3 linked regions of the Schizosaccharomyces pombe genome follow. The gene in region 3 interacts genetically with the main gene of each other region. Each region holds a gene or a part of one and is shown on either strand. Other genes may lie near its edges.

The links.
Region 1: mutations in SPOM_SPBC1289.14 (region 3) and pdk1 together harm fitness more than expected from each alone (negative genetic interaction), as found in Schizosaccharomyces pombe (one large-scale study listed by BioGRID).
Region 2: mutations in SPOM_SPBC1289.14 (region 3) and gcn20 together harm fitness less than expected from each alone (positive genetic interaction), as found in Schizosaccharomyces pombe (one large-scale study listed by BioGRID).

Annotation. Positions count from the first base shown.
Region 1 is NC_003423.3:3,112,371-3,119,382, reverse strand, and holds pdk1 (serine/threonine protein kinase Ppk21/Pdk1), read left to right. Parts: upstream 1-2,873; 5' UTR 2,874-2,996; coding exon 2,997-3,200; exon of another isoform or gene 3,201-3,303; coding exon 3,304-3,540; intron 3,541-3,594; coding exon 3,595-3,704; intron 3,705-3,767; coding exon 3,768-3,938; intron 3,939-3,988; coding exon 3,989-4,922; 3' UTR 4,923-5,152; downstream 5,153-7,012. Other genes in the region: alpha-1,3-galactosyltransferase Otg3, read left to right, coding at 1-156; proteasome core particle subunit beta 1 Pre3, read right to left, coding at 756-1,164, 1,348-1,480, 1,533-1,615, 1,659-1,714; SPOM_SPBC1778.09 (GTPase-activating protein), read right to left, coding at 5,415-6,659.
Region 2 is NC_003423.3:2,053,713-2,060,724, forward strand, and holds gcn20 (AAA family ATPase Gcn20), read right to left. Parts: upstream 2,731-7,012; 5' UTR 2,713-2,730; coding exon 502-2,712; 3' UTR 429-501; downstream 1-428. Other genes in the region: atp14 (F1-ATPase subunit H), read right to left, coding at 3,386-3,409, 3,456-3,646, 3,699-3,734, 3,783-3,828, 3,876-3,890; ort1 (carboxylic acid transporter), read right to left, coding at 4,551-5,444; rps902 (40S ribosomal protein uS4), read left to right, coding at 6,080-6,658.
Region 3 is NC_003423.3:4,410,241-4,417,252, reverse strand, and holds SPOM_SPBC1289.14 (adducin), read right to left. Parts: upstream 5,013-7,012; 5' UTR 4,878-5,012; coding exon 3,903-4,877; 3' UTR 3,654-3,902; downstream 1-3,653. Other genes in the region: Tf2-11 (retrotransposable element/transposon Tf2-type), read right to left, coding at 1-2,596.

The sequences.
Region 1 (7,012 bases), 1.3 Mb from region 3:
GGAGTTTGGGTCACCGAAGAGGACTTACCCTATCTTCGTGCTGCTCATGGTAAATTTTGGGAATATGACAACACGGAGTTTCCCCAAATTTTGACTGCCGAGTGGCATAAAGCGTTCGGAGAGTTGCTGGCTTTTCATGACTATGTTGTAGAATAAAAAATGAAGGGGGGCGTTTATCTTTAATGTTTTCATGCTTCATTATTTTTTTGTCCCACTTCCATTCCTTGACCTGTAACTACGGTGTACCTGTTGAAGAGCTTAATACATATCTCACCGTGTATATTCTTACCGTTAAAGTTTGTTCTTTTCACATAATTTCTGCATTCAATTTTAAACAAAAAAAGACACATCATATTTTATTCTTCTTTAGAAGGGTCTACCGGTGTTCGGACTAATTTTATATTTTACATGGCTGATTACAATTTTCTTGTATGAAGCTGATAATCAAAATTTTAAATGTGCTTGCAGGCATCTTACAACATTTTTACTCTTATGACAATTACATAGGACTCATAACAATAATATTCTTTCACTATCAACAATATAACTACACTTCGGTAGTTAACTGTAACTATAAAAAATCTTTCTATTTTAATCATCACAAAGACTTATCTCACTGACCAGAAAAGTAACTTTTCTTCATGACCTTGCACTCCAAAAGCTACAAATAATGAGACAGGCATTAATAAGGTCAAGTCTAGCATAAGCATTGGGTATCAGTATAGTCACGTAAAATAAAAGGAAACGTGAAGTACTTAGTGAGTAAATACGGGAATAGGGTTAGCAGTATCAATGGCAAAAAATTTACGCTCCATTCCATCTTTATTTAAAATGACCATTCGAATGGTACCACCACTGCTGCCATCGCGTTCCATGGCTAAAGCAACAGCGTTCTTTAAAAATTCAACAGCCTCCTCTTGGGTCATATTTTCGCGAAAGTTAGCATCGCAAAATCCATAAATAAAAGCAGAACCACTTCCTCCAATAGCTAAAGGTTGCTTATGCAAACTACCACCTAACGGAATACTGTAAACATCTCCCCCAGTTTTTTCATCATATCCAGCAACAATTAAACCTGCACTAAGCATATTTTTGTTTTGATAACACATTTCAGAAGCTAAAGTAGCAGCTGTATGAACACTAGGGTCATGGCCAAATTGAATACTTCATAATCGTTAGATAATTTTTTTAACAACAATAAAATGAAAAATAAAACATGCAAAAAGGCTTTAGTAATCATCTAGTAAACATAAGGACTTGAGAGTAAGTCGATAGTTTATTCTAAAGGATAAACCAGCTAAAGCAGCCTTAATTTACAGTCATTCGGTTCATTCAAGGGTAACTTACCGATACATGGAAAGATAGTATTTTAGAAGATCAGCCACAGTTTGCGTATCAGCAGCAGAACCACTGCGACAGCACCAAATATTGTCTGTCAGCTGAGTCAGCTTATCAGTGACACGATTTGCAATATATGCACCTAGCAACGTTAGAAATCAAAGAACGAAAAGTTCTGATATTCCAATACACACCCATAGTTGTTCGAGAATCTGCAGCAAGTATAACGCCATCTTTATAACGGAGCGCCGTGATGGTGGTACCCATACGAATTTCTCTACAAAGTCAGAACTTTCAAAATCAATTTCCCGCAATCATACCCCTTTTTAATAGCATTAATGTCAACATTCATAGTATCTTTCACAGTAGTGGCCATTTTCAGAAGTTTGGTGAAAGGTTAAAATGATTAGGGACTTGTGTATGGTATTGAGAAGCAGCCAAAATTTAGGTAACATTGCTACCTGCATATGAAATTGCAGTATGAATATAAAAAATTGTTATTCAATTGTAAAAAGTGTTGAAAGAATTCGTATATTTTTTAAGAAATTCTTTAACGACTATAGATAAGGGTATAGTATTAAAAATTTTTGATCAAAAGTTACAGCCGACTACAGAGTTATAACCATGGATTGAACTTGAAAGTGCTCAGCTAGAAATTAACATAGGAAAGAATGAAAGAATCTAAAAGTTTGGGACTAAAAAGGTTTCTGAAGATTTTGTTTTCTTAATATTTGACGACTGCTTATATTTGGTTTACTTACGCAAATAACATGAAAAAAACCATAGCTATTGAAGAATGAAAATAATATGACCATGATCTTTTAACAAAAAATGAAGATATTGGAAGTTCGACCTGGAATGATGTATATATATTTACGAGAATTTCTTACGACGGATCTTCTAAACTGTGAATTAGGTATCATGTTATGTTTCATTTCTAGCGAAGCAGAATTCCAAGCAATATTGAGGTGATAGGGGATGTTCCAAATTCTGTTAATCGCCAAATTAATTTTGGAATTAAGGCAAGAAGCATTTCATTAACTACAGTGTATTTTGCTTATTTTAGTAAGGCAGTATCCCAAAGACAACTGGCTTTCTAAAAATCTCTTTTGTTTAGGTGTCTGTTATTTCAACAATATGTACATATATATATTTATTTATAAACTATTTCAAACATATTCAAGCAATTTATTGCTTTTTAGAGCGAATATCGCCATGGATAGCTTAGCGTGAGCTTAAAACATTGAATTAAAAAAATTTTCATTGCCGTTCCAAATTGTATCGCTTTCGCTAATGCTATAAACACCCAAAGCAATTTTTTTGTACTACCATCTTCAGGTCATATCGAAGTATCATTAATGCGATGTAAGACTTTGATGGGTATGATAAGGCTATCAAGCTGCTTAATGAGCATTTTTTCTTTGACAATTCGACCTTTAATTTATTGTTTACATGGCATATTCTACGTTTTAAATTTATGTAATAATGACGAGGATTGGAGAAATAGGGTACTCTACTTAGTGTTTACATCCTTCACAGAACACAACTCCAAGGCCAGCAACTCCACAATTAAATGCACGGTGTTTCAGTTGGAATCGAACAGCAAACGTAAAGTAACTCAAACACAACTTCATTTTTCATGAAAACCTCTTTTATAAATGATGGATCTGGAGCATAAACGCATTAGCCGAAGTACATTGCCGGATTATGCGGATCCCGATTACTTCGAGGCTAGAGGTGAAAGAAATCCGGTAAAACCTCAGTCTTCCAACGTAGTACCAGGAACAAGTCATATAGGATCGATCAAATCTCCGGCGGATTACGTTTTTGGTGACATTATAGGAGATGGATCATTCTCAAAGGTAAGTTGATACATTGCTTCTCAGTTCAGAAGTTTTTCAACCGCAGGTCGATTAACCTATGGACCTTCGATTACTGACGAATAAGTTGTCTAATATTCGTTAGGTGAGAAGAGCAACTGATAAAAAGAGTTGGAAGGAGTACGCTATCAAAGTCCTTGATAAAAAATATATTGTCAAGGAAAATAAGGTTAAGTATGTGAATATAGAGAGAGATTCTATGATGAGACTTAATGGGTTTCCTGGTATCTCTCGTCTTTTCCATACATTTCAGGATGATTTAAAACTTTATTATGTGCTTGAACTTGCACCCAATGGTGAACTTTTGCAATACATCAAAAAGGTATATTTTTTCATTAGTCTATTCATTTTTCCTTTATTAACTAAGCTTTGGTAGTATCGTTTTCTTGATGAGAATTGTGTGCGCTTTTATGCTGCTGAGATTTTATCAAGTATCGAGTATATGCACTCCTGCGGTATAATTCACAGAGATCTCAAGCCAGAAAAGTATGTTTGAGTAGTGGTCATTAAATGTTCGTTTCCTTTTCCTAATTCTAACCTATTTTTTAGCATTTTATTTGATGGAAATATGCATGTAAAAATTACCGATTTCGGCACAGCCAAAATCCTACCCCCTAAATATGTAAATAGCCCTGATTACACTACCTTTCCAAGCTCCTTTGTTGGCACTGCGGAATATGTTGCTCCTGAACTATTGTCTAGACAAGTTGTTTCAAAATCGTAAGAAAACCTATTATCCCAGTCTATTTTTTTTCTGACAAATATTTAAGTTCCGATTTATGGGCTTTTGCGTGTGTTGTTTATCAAATGATTGTTGGTTCCCCTCCTTTTCATGGCAGCAATCCTAATAATATTTTCAAAAAGATAATGAGCCTGGAATATGAGCTTCCAAAGCTCTTACCACCTGATATCGTTCCTTTGTTTAGCCATCTTTTCCGTATTCAGCCATCTGATCGATCTACAACCCAACAAATAAAACAATTTCCTTTTTTTGCTACTATTACTTGGGACAATTTATGGACTCAAGATCCTCCTCCTATGCAGTCATTCCGGCCTAATTATAACATAGCCATTCCTAATGCTCCTGCTTATTATCGCTCAAATGTGACAGCCGCAGCTGCTGCTAATGCTGCCGCGGCATTTGCTTCTGCATCCATTGTAAAGCATCAGGAAACTGCTCGACGTCAGGAGCTTCCTACGGTAAATCGTTTCACTGCTCCAACTGCTCATTATGGCTATGCTTCACTTCGAAGCCATCAGATGCCTGTTGACAGACTTTATTACAAGTTGGTTCCATCGTCTGAGTCGATCATTGAATCTACCTCGGTCTTCGTATCACCCATTCCAAGTGTACCTGAGGGTAATAAGTTTCCATCTGGACTCTCAAAAATGTTTTTGAAAAGAAAGCAAAGGGTTATGCTATTAACTGATGTTGGTCGATGCGCTTTTGTTTGTAAAGGAAAACATGAGAGACTTTTTATCGAGATGGAGGTGAACTTGAAGGATTCCAGTGTTGTAGTGATTTTTGATGAAAATAGTTCCAAGCGATTCTTGATTGAAGATAAGGTCCAGTCCTGGATAATAGAAGACAGTTCCGGGGATGTCACCAAGTATAAAGACAAAATCCTTAAGTTTGCTGATGTTGCGTCTTCTCATCAATCTCGTTCTTCAGAAGAGAATGTAGAAGAGAACGAGGAAGAGTAACCCCATACCTTGTTTTATTTGATTTTTCAACCCATTTACTACCTTCTTTATATTTTATTATTTGTCGTCAGTGTTTTGGTAATATTTAACTATTTAAGCTATACATAATTAGAAATTACGACGCACCTAGGAAGTCGCAAGATGGAGAGGTATTATGTATACATATATATGTATAGTATTTATAATATATATACTTGAATTAATTTTATGTTAAAATTCCATTTCTTTTGGTGAGATGTTAAAATTATAATATTAGTAAGAAGAGAGAGTTAGATAGGATCGATTTAAAGCGCATACTCTTGATACCAATAAAAGTTTTGTGGTATCAAGGAAATAATGTTTATCAACGTTCCAAATTAAAACAGAAAAAGAAAATGATAAATGTTCAGGACCCATTATGCTAAGCTCTGTGATATCAATCCTCATCTTGTTGACATATGTTACATCATGTGGGCCACAATTAATAAAGCTATTAAAAAAGAGTTAGAAATATCAGTTTCTCTTACTTTTAGAAGAATTTTCAGAAGGCATTTTTTCCCAAAATAATTGAATTCTAGCAAGCAGGGCGTTATCGTTTTGAATGGGAATAACACCTGACAGAGCTTGCATTACTACTTCAAAGTCTGCATCAATTAGCGTGTCCCACATTCCTTGTATAACCGCAAGAGAAGTGGCTTGCAATAACCTGACAGTTTGACCTTTGCTTCCACCTAATAAAAACAGGAGATCCCATATACGTAATTGAGTATGGAAGGGCACGCATTGATGAAAAACAGTGAGATACCAACGTGTAGCAAAAGCAGATGGTTCTGCTCCAATTTCCGCCAGATGTCTGCCTGATTGTGTAAAACTTAACTCATGCTTAAGCATGTCAAAAGCCTTTAAAAGTGTATCAAACCCGGAAGAAAACAAGTCCCCCATGCCTCTATTTTCCAATAAATTTACCATCATTATAAATGCTTGTTCTTCGGGATAGTAAATGAGCAAGGTCGCAGCAATAGAAGCCATTCCTTGAACGTATCCAACACGAGGTATATAGAGAGCTACAGCATGAAGAACTCTAAATAGTAAACGTTGCCCTCCAATGTAGCGTTTTCGGAATAAGAAATGTGTAGCAGCTGTTCTGGGAACATCTAGGTCAATTTGAACATCATAGTCACAAATCTGCTCGTTCAATTGGTAATACTTGTCAATCAGTTTTTTATCAGGAAGAGAATCCACAAGAAAGGACCACCACGCAATAGATCGCCAACAATCTGGAATCCCCTTAAATGTACGTAAAATTAACTTACGAGTTTTTCGAAAAGAATGGAGCTGATTACCGGAAACGAGGTGTATTGAACACATCGATTTCCATTTTTGAATACGGGAAAGCTCTTTAGCTGATATTTCGTTGCGGTCATGCGACTCGCCGGGAACAACCATGAAGATGCTTTCATCAACGTACTTCAGCATGTCATCATGGCCGATTAATTTATTGCCAAGACGTTTGGCAGGGTTTGGTTTATCTAATGTTGGGTCTTTACTAACTTTATAGAACCCTAAATTATTAACATTAAAGTCTGAGCGATAGTTTCCGTAACGATCCACATTTTCCAATGACTCTTTTGTATCGATTTCTTGAACTTTTCCATTAATAGGTTCTGGTATATTTAAATTATTCTTGTCTTCTTGTAACCTGTACAACGACCGAATTCGTTGCAAATTGGTTGTTCTAGTTGGGGAAGGGTTTTCCATGCTCTTTCAGATATATCCTCAATTCCGTCACTCTGGAGAAAACAGATTACCTACTAAACTGTATTAAAATATCCAACACAGAAAGATTTAACAGGGGGGAATTGTTTCCGATGTAGTAATGTTTACGGTCCCAAAAGACCGTCTATCCCCATATAAGTCAGTACGTTAGATCCCAAAATCAAAATAACCAAACATGAAAATCTTTTTTTGACGTTTTTATAATTTTTCAAGCAATAAATGCATTCGTGCAAATGCTTATGAATTTGGTTCTCGCTACAAATTTATTGGCTCTATGTCATTTCCATTGATGAAAACTAGTTATAAAGTAGAGACCGAGACCCGATCACAAAACA
Region 2 (7,012 bases), 2.4 Mb from region 3:
ACTCAACCTTCATCTTCCTCCTCTCCATCAATCTCTCGCCCTACGTCTTTTCCCATGTCCTTTTTTCCAAATCCTTCGAGGTTTTCTAGTCAAGTTCCTAAACGAATTTAATGAGTTAACTTTTTCCTTTCTCTTTCTTTTTTTGTTTACTAGTCTGTATATTCTTTTTTTTTCTGCTATTGATTTCCTTGGTCCGCCTTATTTTCTCCTCTTCTCCCCTTCCTCCTCTTTACTTTTTAATTGATTGGGTTTGTTCTCTTTATTTTTTGGGTGTTGGTTGATGATTTGCATGCTTTCCAGGTTTCTTGTCCATTACCGTGTTATGACTTACTTAGCTATAATTAATTTACTGTTTTAATCTTATTTAACACTTCATGTCTTTTACTGTATAAAATGTAGTTAACTTCGTTTACATATTTTATCCAGATTCATAGATAAAAGAATTTGATTTTATTTATCCTCGCCAGCTATATTATTATTATTTAAGTCTATGCTATTCCATTAAGTTTTTATAGTCATGGTTGGCTGTTGAGATAGACAGAATTTCTTATATTGTGAAATTGTTCCATCAAACTTGGAGACGACATTATGGTCACACTGCCAAATACTGGTACATGTCTTGTCCAAGAAATCAACATCGTGAGAAACAAGAATCACACCACCTTGGAAGCGTTTAACAGCTCTTGTCAAGGCATCCATGGACTCCATATCCAGATGGTTGGTGGGTTCATCTAGAATAAGAATGTGAGGGTTTTGTAGACCTAGGCATGCGAACGCAACACGAGATTTCTGACCACCAGAAAGCGTGATCATTTTTTGCAATGCAAGAGGTCCACTAACACCAAAAGCGCCAAGATGACGACGGTATTCTTCTTCACCTTTGCCAGGAAATGTCTTAGCTAAAAAGCTTAAGGCATTCAAGTTTAAGTCCAAAGTATCGACATGATGTTGTGCAAAGTATGCAATACGAAGTCGGGGGTGCCGACTAACTATACCAGATGTTGGATGAAGTTGTTCGATAAGAAGCTTAAGCATTGTTGATTTACCAGCACCGTTGGGACCAACCACACCGATACGAGAATCCATTTGAACATCAATATCAACATGTTTGAGAATAGGGTGACCTGGAACATACTCAAAATTGACATCAGACATTTGTAAGATAGGAGGAGATATTTTTTCCACAGGTGGAAATTCAAACTCAACTTCTTCCTCAGTTTGAGGCTTTTCAAGGATCGGCAGTTTTTCCAACTTCTTAATACGACTTTGTGCTTCGGATGATTTGGCAGCATTATAACGAAATTTGTCAATGAATGATTGCAAATGTTTGCGGTATTCCATTTGCTTTTCATATTCACGAAGTTGATTTTTGCAACGTTCTTCACGAGTAGCATAGAATTGACTAAAATTACCCTTATAGTAATCCAAGCGCTCAGAGTGTTGATGAATAATATCAGTAGCAACTTCATTCAAGAAAGAACGATCGTGTGAAACGACTAAAACGATATTTTTATAAGTTTGTAAATATTCAGATAAGAAAGCAATTGAGGGAACGTCAAGCATGTTCGAAGGTTCATCCAAAAGTAGTAAATCTGGTTGACAAAACAGAGCACGTGCCAATGACAAACGCATACGCCAACCACCTGAAAAAGTCTTGGTAGCATGGCTTTGCATTTCTTGAGTAAATCCAAGACCAGCTAAAATAGTAGCAGCGCGTGATTCTGCTCTATCAGAGTCCATCTCGGAAAGCTTATTTTGAATATCTAACAACCGTAAATCAAGTTCGTCTCGTTCACGCTCAAGGCGACGGGAAATAGCTTGATCAGCAGTTTGGTCTTTACTAAGTTCTTCCAATTCTTTTTCAATCGTTGATAGACGATTAGTTATCTTTTCCTGGTCCTGAATCAAATACTTGCGCCAAACATCGGCATCCAAAACTGACTGTAGGGCAGGTGTATCATCACCTGTCATTTCTTGCTCAACATGAAGAATGGTAATATGGGTAGGAATCGCAATTTCACGGCGAGAAAGAGCACGTAGAAGAGTAGATTTACCGATACCGTTGCGACCAGTTAAACCGTATCGTCTACCCTGTGCAAGTGTCAACGAAGCACCAGTCAATATACGATGACCAGCAAAAGCAAGATCAATTCCATCAATTTTAATATCTTTCGATTTTCCTTGGTTACTTCCGGATAAATCTAGAGGATTTACAGCCATGTAAAACTCTTCATAAGACTTTTGTTCGGGTTGAACCAACTTTGAAGATTCGTATTCTGCTTTGATAGTACGTTTCTCCCATTTGGCACGAATCTTCCGTTCAGCCTTCTCTAATTTTCTTCTATCTACCCTAGATTCAACCTTACGGCCCTTTACAGCATCTAATTCCATCTTTTCGCCAACCAAACCCATAGTTGACGAAATTTCGGATTGGGAATCCATTCGAATAGTCTCCTTCAAACGAACAAGTCCATTCGTTTGTAATGTATCTAGATGTTCCTCTCTTTCTTTAAATTGTTTCTCTAGTTCGTTTTGTATGAGCTGTACCGCTTCCTCACGAGCGCCAGCATCTAGCAATAAATTACGAATGAGAGAGATCGTATGGTCTGAAGCCTCATCTACATCTTTAATAGCATCATTAGCATATCCAGTGCAGTAGCTGAGGACATGAGGGTCTACTTCAGAGCAATTATTCTGAATGACTTGCTCCATGTTGGATGTGAGGTGGATAGTACTAAGCAAGTTATACTACTGCTATATATGAAGCCTCAATCGGCAAAACGATGAGACTAGGCATGAAAATATACTAAATACCTTATAATAGTGAATTATATATTTTTTTAAGAAAAAAAATTACAATTCCAAGAAAACTACTGTGAACTTTACTGATATTTTTAATGACCCACAGTAGACATCAAATTTTATCAAGCTAATCCTTATTGTTGAATAAAAGCAATTGTATTGAGTTGATATAAATTGAAAAAAAAAATCCAAATGTGAACTCAATAGAAATACTTTGCAAAGAGAAAAACATCTCAACTCAATGAAAGTGGTTTTCTATCAATCAAGGCAACAACTGTTTCGTGCCGTAATCGAAGAGACGACTAAGCATTGAATTCAGCTATGTTCAAAGACATTTAGAAAGCAGAAAAAGGATACGTTAACCTAGAATATAAATCATAGTGAGACGGGAGTTATAGAGATACATCCACGTTCGTGGTCAATCAAAAGAAGGATCAGACAAAGGCATGAAATAGATATAAAATCAAATCTCAACGACGTAGATGAAAATGTAAATTCATAATCGGAAAATAAAAGGCAAAATTTAATCAAAGTTAATTACCAAACATCTTCCAATTGAGCATAGGAAAAGCAGTGAATAAATTTAATGTTCTTTTTCATTCTCATACTGAAGGAAAAGTTAGCTGATGCAATGTAAAGGAAGAGATACATACTGATTCAAGAAAGTCAAATTTGTTGCTTTCTCCAGCAGCCTTAGTGGGAATGGTTTCTCCCTCATACTTGTAAGAGTTTAAAGCAGAAGTAAAGTCAACATCGTATTTTGGAGCAGTAGGAGCGCTAGGCATGGACCATTCCTTTACTTCAGCTGCCGTTTCGGAAGGGACAGCTTTAGGCTTATATGATTCTAAGACACGACGTGTAAGAAATTGGTAAATTAAGAGAATATAATAACATACTTAAAGAAGAAATATATAAACCCTGTACTACATCGACTAAATTGCCATTAGTAATCTCATCAAAATCAAAATGTCATTTCATACCGTAAAGACGAGGGGAGGTGGTCGAATAACTACGACTTAGTGATTTCTATATATTAGCTCCTAAATTCTTAAAAAAAGCAATGTATAACGTACCAAAATTCGAGACATTGTTCTTCCTTCACAATATATGTGGATGGTAGTGGTAACTCACTTAGGTAGCATGTATTGAGTAAGAAAGCCAGCATTGTCCGAAAGTACATTAAACATACTAAATCTAATAGCTAAAGTTTTAAATGCCCAAATAAACAATCGCTGAAATAGAAGGACTATTAGTCTCAAAAATTTCATCCAATTTACACCTCTACCAAAAATCTACAAAACAAAATTCAACTATACAAGAAAAAAAAGCGTAGGTACATACAGATATTGAAAGAGTTGGATTAACCAAAACAGGACGTAAAAAGCAAAACAAAACAAAAAAAAACAGGGAAAAGAGGAAAAGAAAATATACTTTCAGATTGAAACGGTTAACTCGTGAAATGTATAACAAGTTCAGTGGAATTACTGTCAAACTAACAGCAGCACATGATATGAAAAGTGATGAGAGGGGAGTTTTTGAAGGTAAAAATGCTTTTAATAAAAAATAAATAGCATCAAAAAAATTGTAAAAGTATTCCATGGGACTTTAAATATATACGACAAAACCAGTTCTAAAATGTGATTAAACTTCAACCGCAAGTCGAATGCAAGTTAAAATATGTATAGAAATGCATTCCGACGGGTTATCGACTCAATGGACAACAAAGACTTCGTAAAACTAGAATAAAACTATTTGCTTAATACTTTAGTTTCCCGAAATAATTCAAAAAGCGTAAAATTGCAAGAATTTATAAGAGCGCTTCGCATCAATGAAATACCTATACCTCGATATATAGTAAACGATAACCAAGGAATGGAAGACAAAGGGGTTTTAATTGATAAGAGTGTATTTCTTTGTACAATGGATTTGGCTGTATCCACCGGGAATACCAAAATCCAAGACAAAGCGCCGCAAAAAGCACCAGAGAAGGCATAAGCAAAATGCGGCTTCACATCATTCGCTATCAGATTTTTCTTAAAGGTTTCGTATATTGTAAAATAACAAGCCGATCCTAGAGCGTCTCTGGTTAGATGATAACGATACCCATTCCATAATGCAGTAAATCCATACCTCCGAACAATGTCAGAAGCGCTCTGGAAAGATGACAAGGGAGGTCTGACACTTAGCTTGGAATTTGTCTCTTGCCGACGGCCCATATTTGTTTTGCGAAGAAGCATGTCAATTTGTGAATATAACTTTGAATACTCGAATGGACAAGCAAAAAGTGATATAAAAGTACCAGTCCCAAGCCCGGAAATGAAATACCGAAGTGTAGGATCCACATGAGCAAATGTAAGTTTTAAGGAATCATACACCGTAAATGATACTGACCTCGATAGAGTGGCTGATATCAATGGTAGAGTAAGACCACGATACAAACCTTTTAATCCCTCGTTTTTAACAGCGTTTTGGAAACAAGAGCGAATGGTTGGGAAATTGTAAGTTTGCTGTCGAACTTTAATCGAGTCAAGAGGATACCCAATAACATTGCTAATGGCAGAAGAAACCAGAGCAGCGGAAAAGGTAGATGCGGGAGAGCCCGAGTGTGCTTTATGGGGCTGGTTATGAACTGGTAAACCCATTTTTTGATCAATCCTTCAGAAATAAAATAGAGAGAAATGAGAGAAGAAAATAAAGATCAATATTCTAGCAAAAATAGATTTTTCGACTTATCTAAACAAATGAAGTAATCGAAATCCTCTTTCTTTATGTAAGTACGTATATGTACGTCTAAATTGTATGTATAGTCTAAAGTATTCAGAAGTTCACCACCCATGTAAGATGAACTACTAAAAAAAAACTTGTTTTTTATATTTTGAAACTCGAAAAAAAGTAAAATCGTCAATAATTATGATCAATTTCAGAGAAAAACCAAAAAAGAGACAGTAACAGCACAACACTCACAGGATTGTGCAATTAATATCTTCAAATAGAGTTTAATACGCACTCACAAGATACAGTGTATCCCTTACATATGTGATCTTCTATTTTAGAAAAAATAAACAACACCTTCTATTTACAAATCTAACTTCTGCTTTTCCTTCACAAGGATATAAGCTAGAGGGTTAGTAGGAATAGTGTGTAGTAAGGATATCGGTACGGGATGGTGATGGGACAAAACCCTAACCTAATACTACAGTATCTCAAAAAGCCGTCACTGTTGTGCCTTCTTGAAAATACATAGCAAAGGTAGGTTGCGCAAAGCACCAAACAAACAATGCCTTCTGCTCCTCGTAAGCAATCCAAGACTTACAAGGTTCCTCGTCGTCCCTTCGAGTCGGCCCGTCTAGATGCCGAGCTCAAGCTTGCTGGTGAATATGGTTTGAGAAATAAGCATGAAATTTGGCGTGTAGCACTTACCCTTTCTAAAATCCGTCGTGCTGCTCGTGAGCTTTTGACCCTTGACGAGAAGGATCCTAAGCGTCTTTTCGAGGGAAATGCCATCATTCGTCGTCTTGTTCGTTTGGGCATTTTGGATGAGTCCCGTATGAAGCTTGATTATGTGTTGGCTCTCCGTATCGAGGACTTTTTGGAGCGTCGTTTGCAAACTCAAGTCTTTAAGCTTGGTTTGGCTAAGTCCATCCATCATGCACGTGTGTTGATCTTCCAACGTCACATCCGTGTTGGTAAGCAAATTGTCAATGTTCCTTCCTTCGTTGTCCGTTTGGATGCCCAAAAGCATATCGACTTTGCTCTTTCCTCTCCATATGGTGGTGGTCGCCCTGGTCGCTGCAAGAGAAAGCGTCTCCGCTCTCAACAAGAGGGTGGTGAAGGTGAAGAAGCCGAAGAGGAGTAATTCTTTTCTTTGACTAGTAAAAATGAATCCTAATCTCTGAGTAGAAAATGAAATTCCTTTCTTGTGTATTTCACTAGTATATGTAGCTTATAATCTCAATGCATATGGTAACTGTTCTTTGTCGTACATTTTTTTTGAAGTCTACATCTTCGTATTAAATTAGCGCACTAAAGCCTTGTAGCGTTTTATAGATTTTTGAAGAATCCAATGCTTCGTAAAAATTGTGAAGACAGATAAACTGACTTAGGAGACAAAAAAAAAAGAATACGAAGATACTAAAGGTATAGTCGTATTGGATGAAATTGTAGTACTTAATTTTTGCTGCTTAAAGTTTTTGATATTTTTCGTTAATTA
Region 3 (7,012 bases):
TAACCACTTGGTTTTTAAAATCATCGGTTATCGAGATTTGATTAACAAAGTTGATACTATTGTCTTCTGAATCTTTTGGAATTGGTTCTGTTTCGTCAACAATTCTGGATAAGGCATCAGCTATGTGATTTGCTGATCCAGGTCTGTAGTTAATTTCAAAGTTGAAGTCTTGTAAAAATAATTGCCAACGAGCTAAACGTTTGTTTTCAGGCTCGGATTCGTTAGTAATGCGACCAATTAAGTTTCGATGGTCTGTTAAAATTTTGAAAGGTTCGATAGTGGATTCTAAATAGTGTCTCCAATGTTTGAGAGACTTAATGATTGCAAGCATTTCTTTGTCCGATACGCTATAATTTAATTGTGCTTTAGACATCTTTGCTGAATAGTATCCAACAGGATAGTATTTATCATCATCATGTTTTTGAGACAATACGGCTCCTACAGCGACATCTGAAGCATCAGTTTCTAGTAGAATCTTTTTACTGAAATCAAAGTGTCGTAGCACCGGAGGAGAAACTAAACATTGTTTAATGTTTTCTATCGCTTGGGTTTGTGTTGGTGTCCATTTCCAGCGTACATCCTTTTTCAAAAGATTATTGAGTGGATGTGTTAATTGTGATGTCTTTGGAATGAATTTCCTAAGATAATTGACAGAACCTAGAAATTGTCGTAATTCTTTACGATTCTTAGGTTGCTTCCATTGTAAGACTTTGTCTATATTTTCTTGACAAGGCGTAAATCCTTTTTCCGAAATGTGATACCCTATAAATTTTACTTGTGATTGATGAAATTCACATTTTGCTTGATTGATAATTAAGTTCGCATTTTTTAATTTCTGTAGAACGTCTTTAACATGTTTTACATGTTCAGATTCCGATTTTGAATGAATTAAAATATTATCCATATAACATACTACATGCGATTCTTTGACTTCACCAAGTATTGTATTGATAAAGTATTGAAAATGTGCTGGAGCTATAGATATGCCATAAGGCATTACTAGATATTCAAAAACTCCACGAGGACAGCGAAAAGCAAGTTTATGTTCATCTCCTTTTCTTACTCGTATCAAGTGATAGGCACTTTTGAGGTCAAGTTTAGTAAAAATTGTAGAACCTTGTATTTTAGCAAGTAATTGTTCAATAAGTGGTAACGGATATATATTGGGTTTGACATACTTATTTAAAGGTTTGTAGTCAACCACCATTCTCAAGGTGCCTTCCTTTTTCGGAACGAACATTACTGGACAGGCGTTAATGGCTTTAGATTCTCGTATAATTCCACTTTTTAATCCTTGATTAATTTCATCATTCATAGCTTGCATTTTTCCCGGTGGTAGCGGGTAATTTCTGATAGGTAATCTGTAGTTTTCTTGAGTTAGTTCAACTTCAAATTCTAACCCTTTTATTGGCTTTGGTAGCTTTTCCGTATTGGTTTCTGCAGTAATGTCTTTGAATTCTTTATAGATATCTGGTAACTCAGGTTCCTTGACAATATTTGAAACTTTGTTCATTTGAGAGAGCGTGTGTTTACTGCTAGATATTTCAATGTTATTGTCATATAATGTTGTGAAGGAGATAGCAGCTGGATGCGAAAATTTCTTTACAACCAAGAATTCTGTTTTGATTGATATTCCATTTAGACTTATGTTAAGTTTTATTGTTTTGCGATTAATCTTATTTGGATAAACTCCACCATATATCACACTTTTTGACCAGGGTCTGGTAGGCAGTTTATGTGCTCGAACAGTTTCTTCTGTTATAATATTTGCTTGAGTGCCCGTATCGATTAGACAGGGTATTGAGCACTTGAAGTCTGGAAGTTCAGCTTGTAATACCATTTCGTAACGTTTCCTAGTATGATTTAGGAATTTGTTAGATGAGTATTCTATTCTCGAAATATTTGTCTTCCTCAGGTTTCTGCTATTAGTGGTGTTATTTTTCTTTGGAAGGAACTCTTTTCCTAGATTTTTATTTTGCGGTTGAAAACGCTTGTGAGTTTTACCATACGAGGCTGTTCTTTTGTCCTCTAAAAAGTCATAAATTTCACTGATTTCCGATTTCCAGTAATTTCTTTCCTTTAATTTCCTTAAGGAATATGGCAGCATCCATAATATAAACAAGCGAGTATGGAAATCATCAACATTTGCCTTTGACATGAGTTTCCTTATAAATTGAACTTTGTCCAATTGATTTCTAAAACCTTCAAATGTTTTAGTTAAACGATCACCTTTGTTGGATCCTTGTACTTTCCCTGGTTGTCTGAGTAATTCTTGCCATGTAAGACTTCCATTCTCAGAAAACATGCGTTCAGCGAATTGTTGCTCTAATTCTTCTAGGTGATTCAATGTATACTGTCTTTTAGTATGCTCATTTGGGAATAATGAAGGGTATTCAGTAAAGTGTTGATCAAGTTTTGAAATGTAACTTTCAACATCCTTATTAGGATCGAATTTCCCTATCTCTGGTACATGCTTCGATAATATTTTTGCAAAAAGGTTTATTAAATGTTCGTCTGATGTTTGAATTCCATCCAAATTCTCTGGTCTCCATCGTTTTGCTCTTGCTTTCATATAACGATAATTTGCGTAGGACATTGTATATGTTTCCCTTTTGGGAGATTTCAAAAGGGATAACAGTCTTTCCAAAGTTCTTTCTCCTTTGAACCCAGAAGGAGAGAAATATATATATTTATGATATATATTTATTCAATAATTCCTTTTTCTTAAAAAGAGTTAATTGTAGATCACAAGAGTTCAGTTATTGTAAGCTACGCAGTTTGGTATCTGATTTAAGGATACGTAGAACTGTGGTGAGTTTTCCTTGTGATCTATTATATTACAATACACAGGTTGTATGAGAAGCAACTGAGTATAGGTATTGTATTAACTGGGTTATAATGTTACCTATCAATAATATAGCTCATAACTGAACTGAGGAACGAGGTTCAGTTGTAACGCTATTTATAATATTTCTAAATACTTGTTATCAACGGATATCTACGATATGATGTTGAACATGTGACATATAGTGATACGCAACGTAGTGCAGTATTGCTGACAGCTACGCAGTTTAAAATCACCTTTTAAATATACGCTTCTGTGATAATTTTATTAATATTGTACTGCGGTATGTAGGTGGAATGAACAGCAGGCATTGAAGATATTCTTCGTGTGAAGGGTTTAGGTAGAACTAACCACAAATGAATTGAAGGGTTAGAATTGGTCTAATCATAGTGCTATCGATATAATTGCTATATGATTAGTAACATATGTCGGTACAAATGTCGCACTGTATGTACTCTAAATAAACTGAACAAGTAGCGTATAGTGACATTAAGAAACCATGGTATTGCTGTCGTTAGGAGTTGCAACGAATACTTGCCTTGTTAAAGTTTTTATTAACTTCTAATTGTTTTTGAGTGTCGAAAACGAAGTAAATTTGAGTAAAACATCAGGATTAATTCTGACTAGTAACTTAGAAGTTTATTGGTAAAAAACATTTGTGAATAATGTATAATAAAATTTTTACTAACTTTTGTCAAGGATATTTCATGCAGAATGCATGTTTTACGATAAAGTCATTTACATTGGCTGCAAAATGATTGCAGTTGCATATTTAATACGGTAAGAAGCAAGTGATACAATATGAGTCCTAAGGTGTAATTTCGTTAGCTTTTGCATTGTCGGATTATATAAATTAAAAAAAATTCCTTTTTCATGTATTCATATTTCTGTGAATAAAAATAATAAAAGAATGCGATTTAGAATATTAATAAATTTAATGACTGATTAAGTCAAGTAGAACAAGCTCTCAACTTCAGTTTTCAGTGGATTTACGCTCGTCAAATAAATCTTATTGTGATAAATTCTGATAAAAGACGAAATTAAATAATACATCATCTTAAGTTCTGTATGAACTATCAAGATCATCAAGTAACCTCATATAGGCAGAAAGTTCCTTAATTCCATATTTAGCACCCGAGAAATGCTTCTCTCTGGTAACATCAAAAGTTTTTTCAACAAGTTTGTTATTAGGAATGAAAAGATTGTTCATGTCTCCCAAAGCATTTGCTGATGCATGCGTTTGGATTTCCGTGGCGGCCAAAAATTGATACATTAAATAGTAAGCTGCACCTACAGACTCGGCAGCAGTAATAATTCCATGATTACGAAGTATCAAAATATCCTTGTTTGCTATGTCTTCAGCCAAACTCTTTTGTTCGCCTTTGTCAACTACAATTCCATGATAATCGTGATATGTGACAGGACCAGATTGGTGTGAAGTTTGAGCAAGCTCAAGGAAACCATGTTTAACACATGAAACGCCAGCAGCATATGGATAGTGATTGTGCATAATGCTCTTCACATCTGGACGAGCCCTGTGTATCGCACTATGTATAACATAGCCAGCACGATTGATGCCAAAAACATCACCCGTAACACCAGGATGTTTGATGTTTCCATCCTCATCAACCTTAATAAGACTACTAGCGGTAATTTCACCATATCGTAAACCATAAGGATTAATCAGAAATGAAGCGGTTCCATCAGGTTCCTCAACCTTGGCAGTCAAATGATTTAGAATATTCTCATTCCAATGTTCTAAACCAAAAAGACGATATGCCGCAGCTAACTCAATACGCGTAGCAACCTCTTCATCAGTGAATTCATGCAGACATGACTTTCGGAGCATTTCACGAACGGCAATCGAGCTAAATTCCGGTTTAGGAGCGTAGGTTTTAGGATCAACTTTTGAATTTGTGGCTAGTCCTCTCGTAAGGTTTACTCCAGTAATTGCATAAGTAGAACGCAAACTATTATTTATGCATTTTGCTGCATTTTTCAAAGACAAAGGGGTAAATTTTTTGCTAAGCATAATTGGAATTTGATATAAGGTAAGCAATCTAAAATGCAGTTCTAGCCAGTCGTTATGTTAATGAAAGACCTTTAAAGTAGTAGAATAAAAATTCAAATGAAGGAAAAAGTGAATTAGAATTTATTCGCTAACGATGTTGTTTTAATGAAAGCAAGCTTATATTTATATTATTTTTCAACGTCATAGTAAGTGCCTAGAATCCTTTACATTTACTGAAATTCAAATTGCTTTGCCGAAATATTAAACTAATCGTAATAAAACACCATTCGAATGTAAAATTTTTGATGTACGTTATCTACGTTGCCGCGTAAGAGAGTAGTCAAGAGCATGCTAGTGTGTGATTTATTATGTTAATCTAGAATGAAATGCTACAATATTACTAAATCTCGAATGCGATATATAGAATCTCAAATTCAACCATATGCCCCTCATTCATAAATTCATTCTCTATATTTAAAAAAAATTAGGTAAATTATATTAAAACGTTAAATTGAATGACTAGCTTGAAAGTTGAACTCGCTCATCCAAAACTATTATGACTTTTAAAGCAATATTATCATATTTTTCGACCATATAGGTATTATGTGATTGGTTGATTGAAAGGCTGGTTGCTGATTGGTTTCGTTACACGAATATTATAATTTGACGTCACATTACGAGAGATATGAGAAGGAAAGAGAATAACATGTTCCACTAGGGAAACAGAATAGCTATGAGTACCAGTGTATAACGATATTTTGAATTTGTTGAATTCATCATCACCGTTTATTTTGGTATCAGTGATGGATGATAATTCATGGCATTTACTAATATGGGACGACATATCGTACATTTTTACACAAGTAACGGACATGAGCGCAAGACTGAACACAAGAATTAATGCTAACACCTCATAAGAAAAGTTAACAAGGTTGAGGATTGCTCTATTTCTCTTACTTTTTTTTAATCAAGTACTAACTCTATAGTGTACGTGTCAGTGGCTATTAACTCCCAATTCATTTAGATGTCATCCGGAATTAAAAAACGGATAACAAATTTCGGATAATGACTAAATATTGTTCCAATGTGGCACCTCAACTTTTGTACCATCGCTCTCATCCCTTTGCTATATTTCCGATATCCGGTTGTTTTACAAAAATTAAACAAGGGATTACTCGTCAACAACATACTCAACATCAGGTTATGATGAAGTTGTCGTTTGCTTAGCGAATTTTTGCTTGAGGTATACAATTTACTCAGTCCCTTCATTGGCTTTATCAACATGCCATAAATTAGTTTAAAAAATAATTTATCGTCATTACAATATCGGTATATTAGAATATAATTATATACTTTTACTATGAAATAATATTCTGTCTTATTCTCTTAAACAAAATTGCTTTGAAAATAAAAAAAATGATTGGCTGTTTAAAAATACTTCAACCGTAATATTGTATTATTGTAAACGAATATGTAGTGGTATAGCAATCGAATCTGGGGCCTTTCTATTGGTTAAGTAATTGAATAATTTTAACGGCCGATCCGTGAATCTTTATACCATAACAATTTTTTAGCTAAAGACACGGAATCGAAACATCGCTAGGTGATGAGTTAGTAAAGAATAAATATGGCTGCAATATTAAGCATGGAGAAGGACAACAACTCCATATTTCTTTGATTTGCTAGTTAAAATCTAAATTGCTATTGGTAAAGTACACAAAAATACAGTTATTGCTGGGCAAATTTTAACGTTATCATGAAATAAAAAATCAGTTCTAGAAAATAGTTACGACTTTCTTCGAAGCTGCAAACTTAAATTCCAAGAATACTTTGAATAGTCTCTGTAAGGTCTGAAGCGAATTCCAAAATGCTATCATTTGCTTTTCTGAGTACAATTATCGCATATATATTAAAAATTTAAGGTGTAGTGCATCCAAAAAAAAAAGAACGATTCCAACAGATATATTAAAGAATCTTAATTTATTGATACTTACATTCCGATTGTGCAAACTAAAGGTTAGACTAATATTCTTCTCAAAAAATTATACAACAATAAAAAGTGAAACCGATAAATTGAAAGCGACGCTTTGCATTTTAATTTAAAAATCCAAGCACTTCAGAAAAATGTTTGCCAATGCAGCAGAAGAAAAAGCATC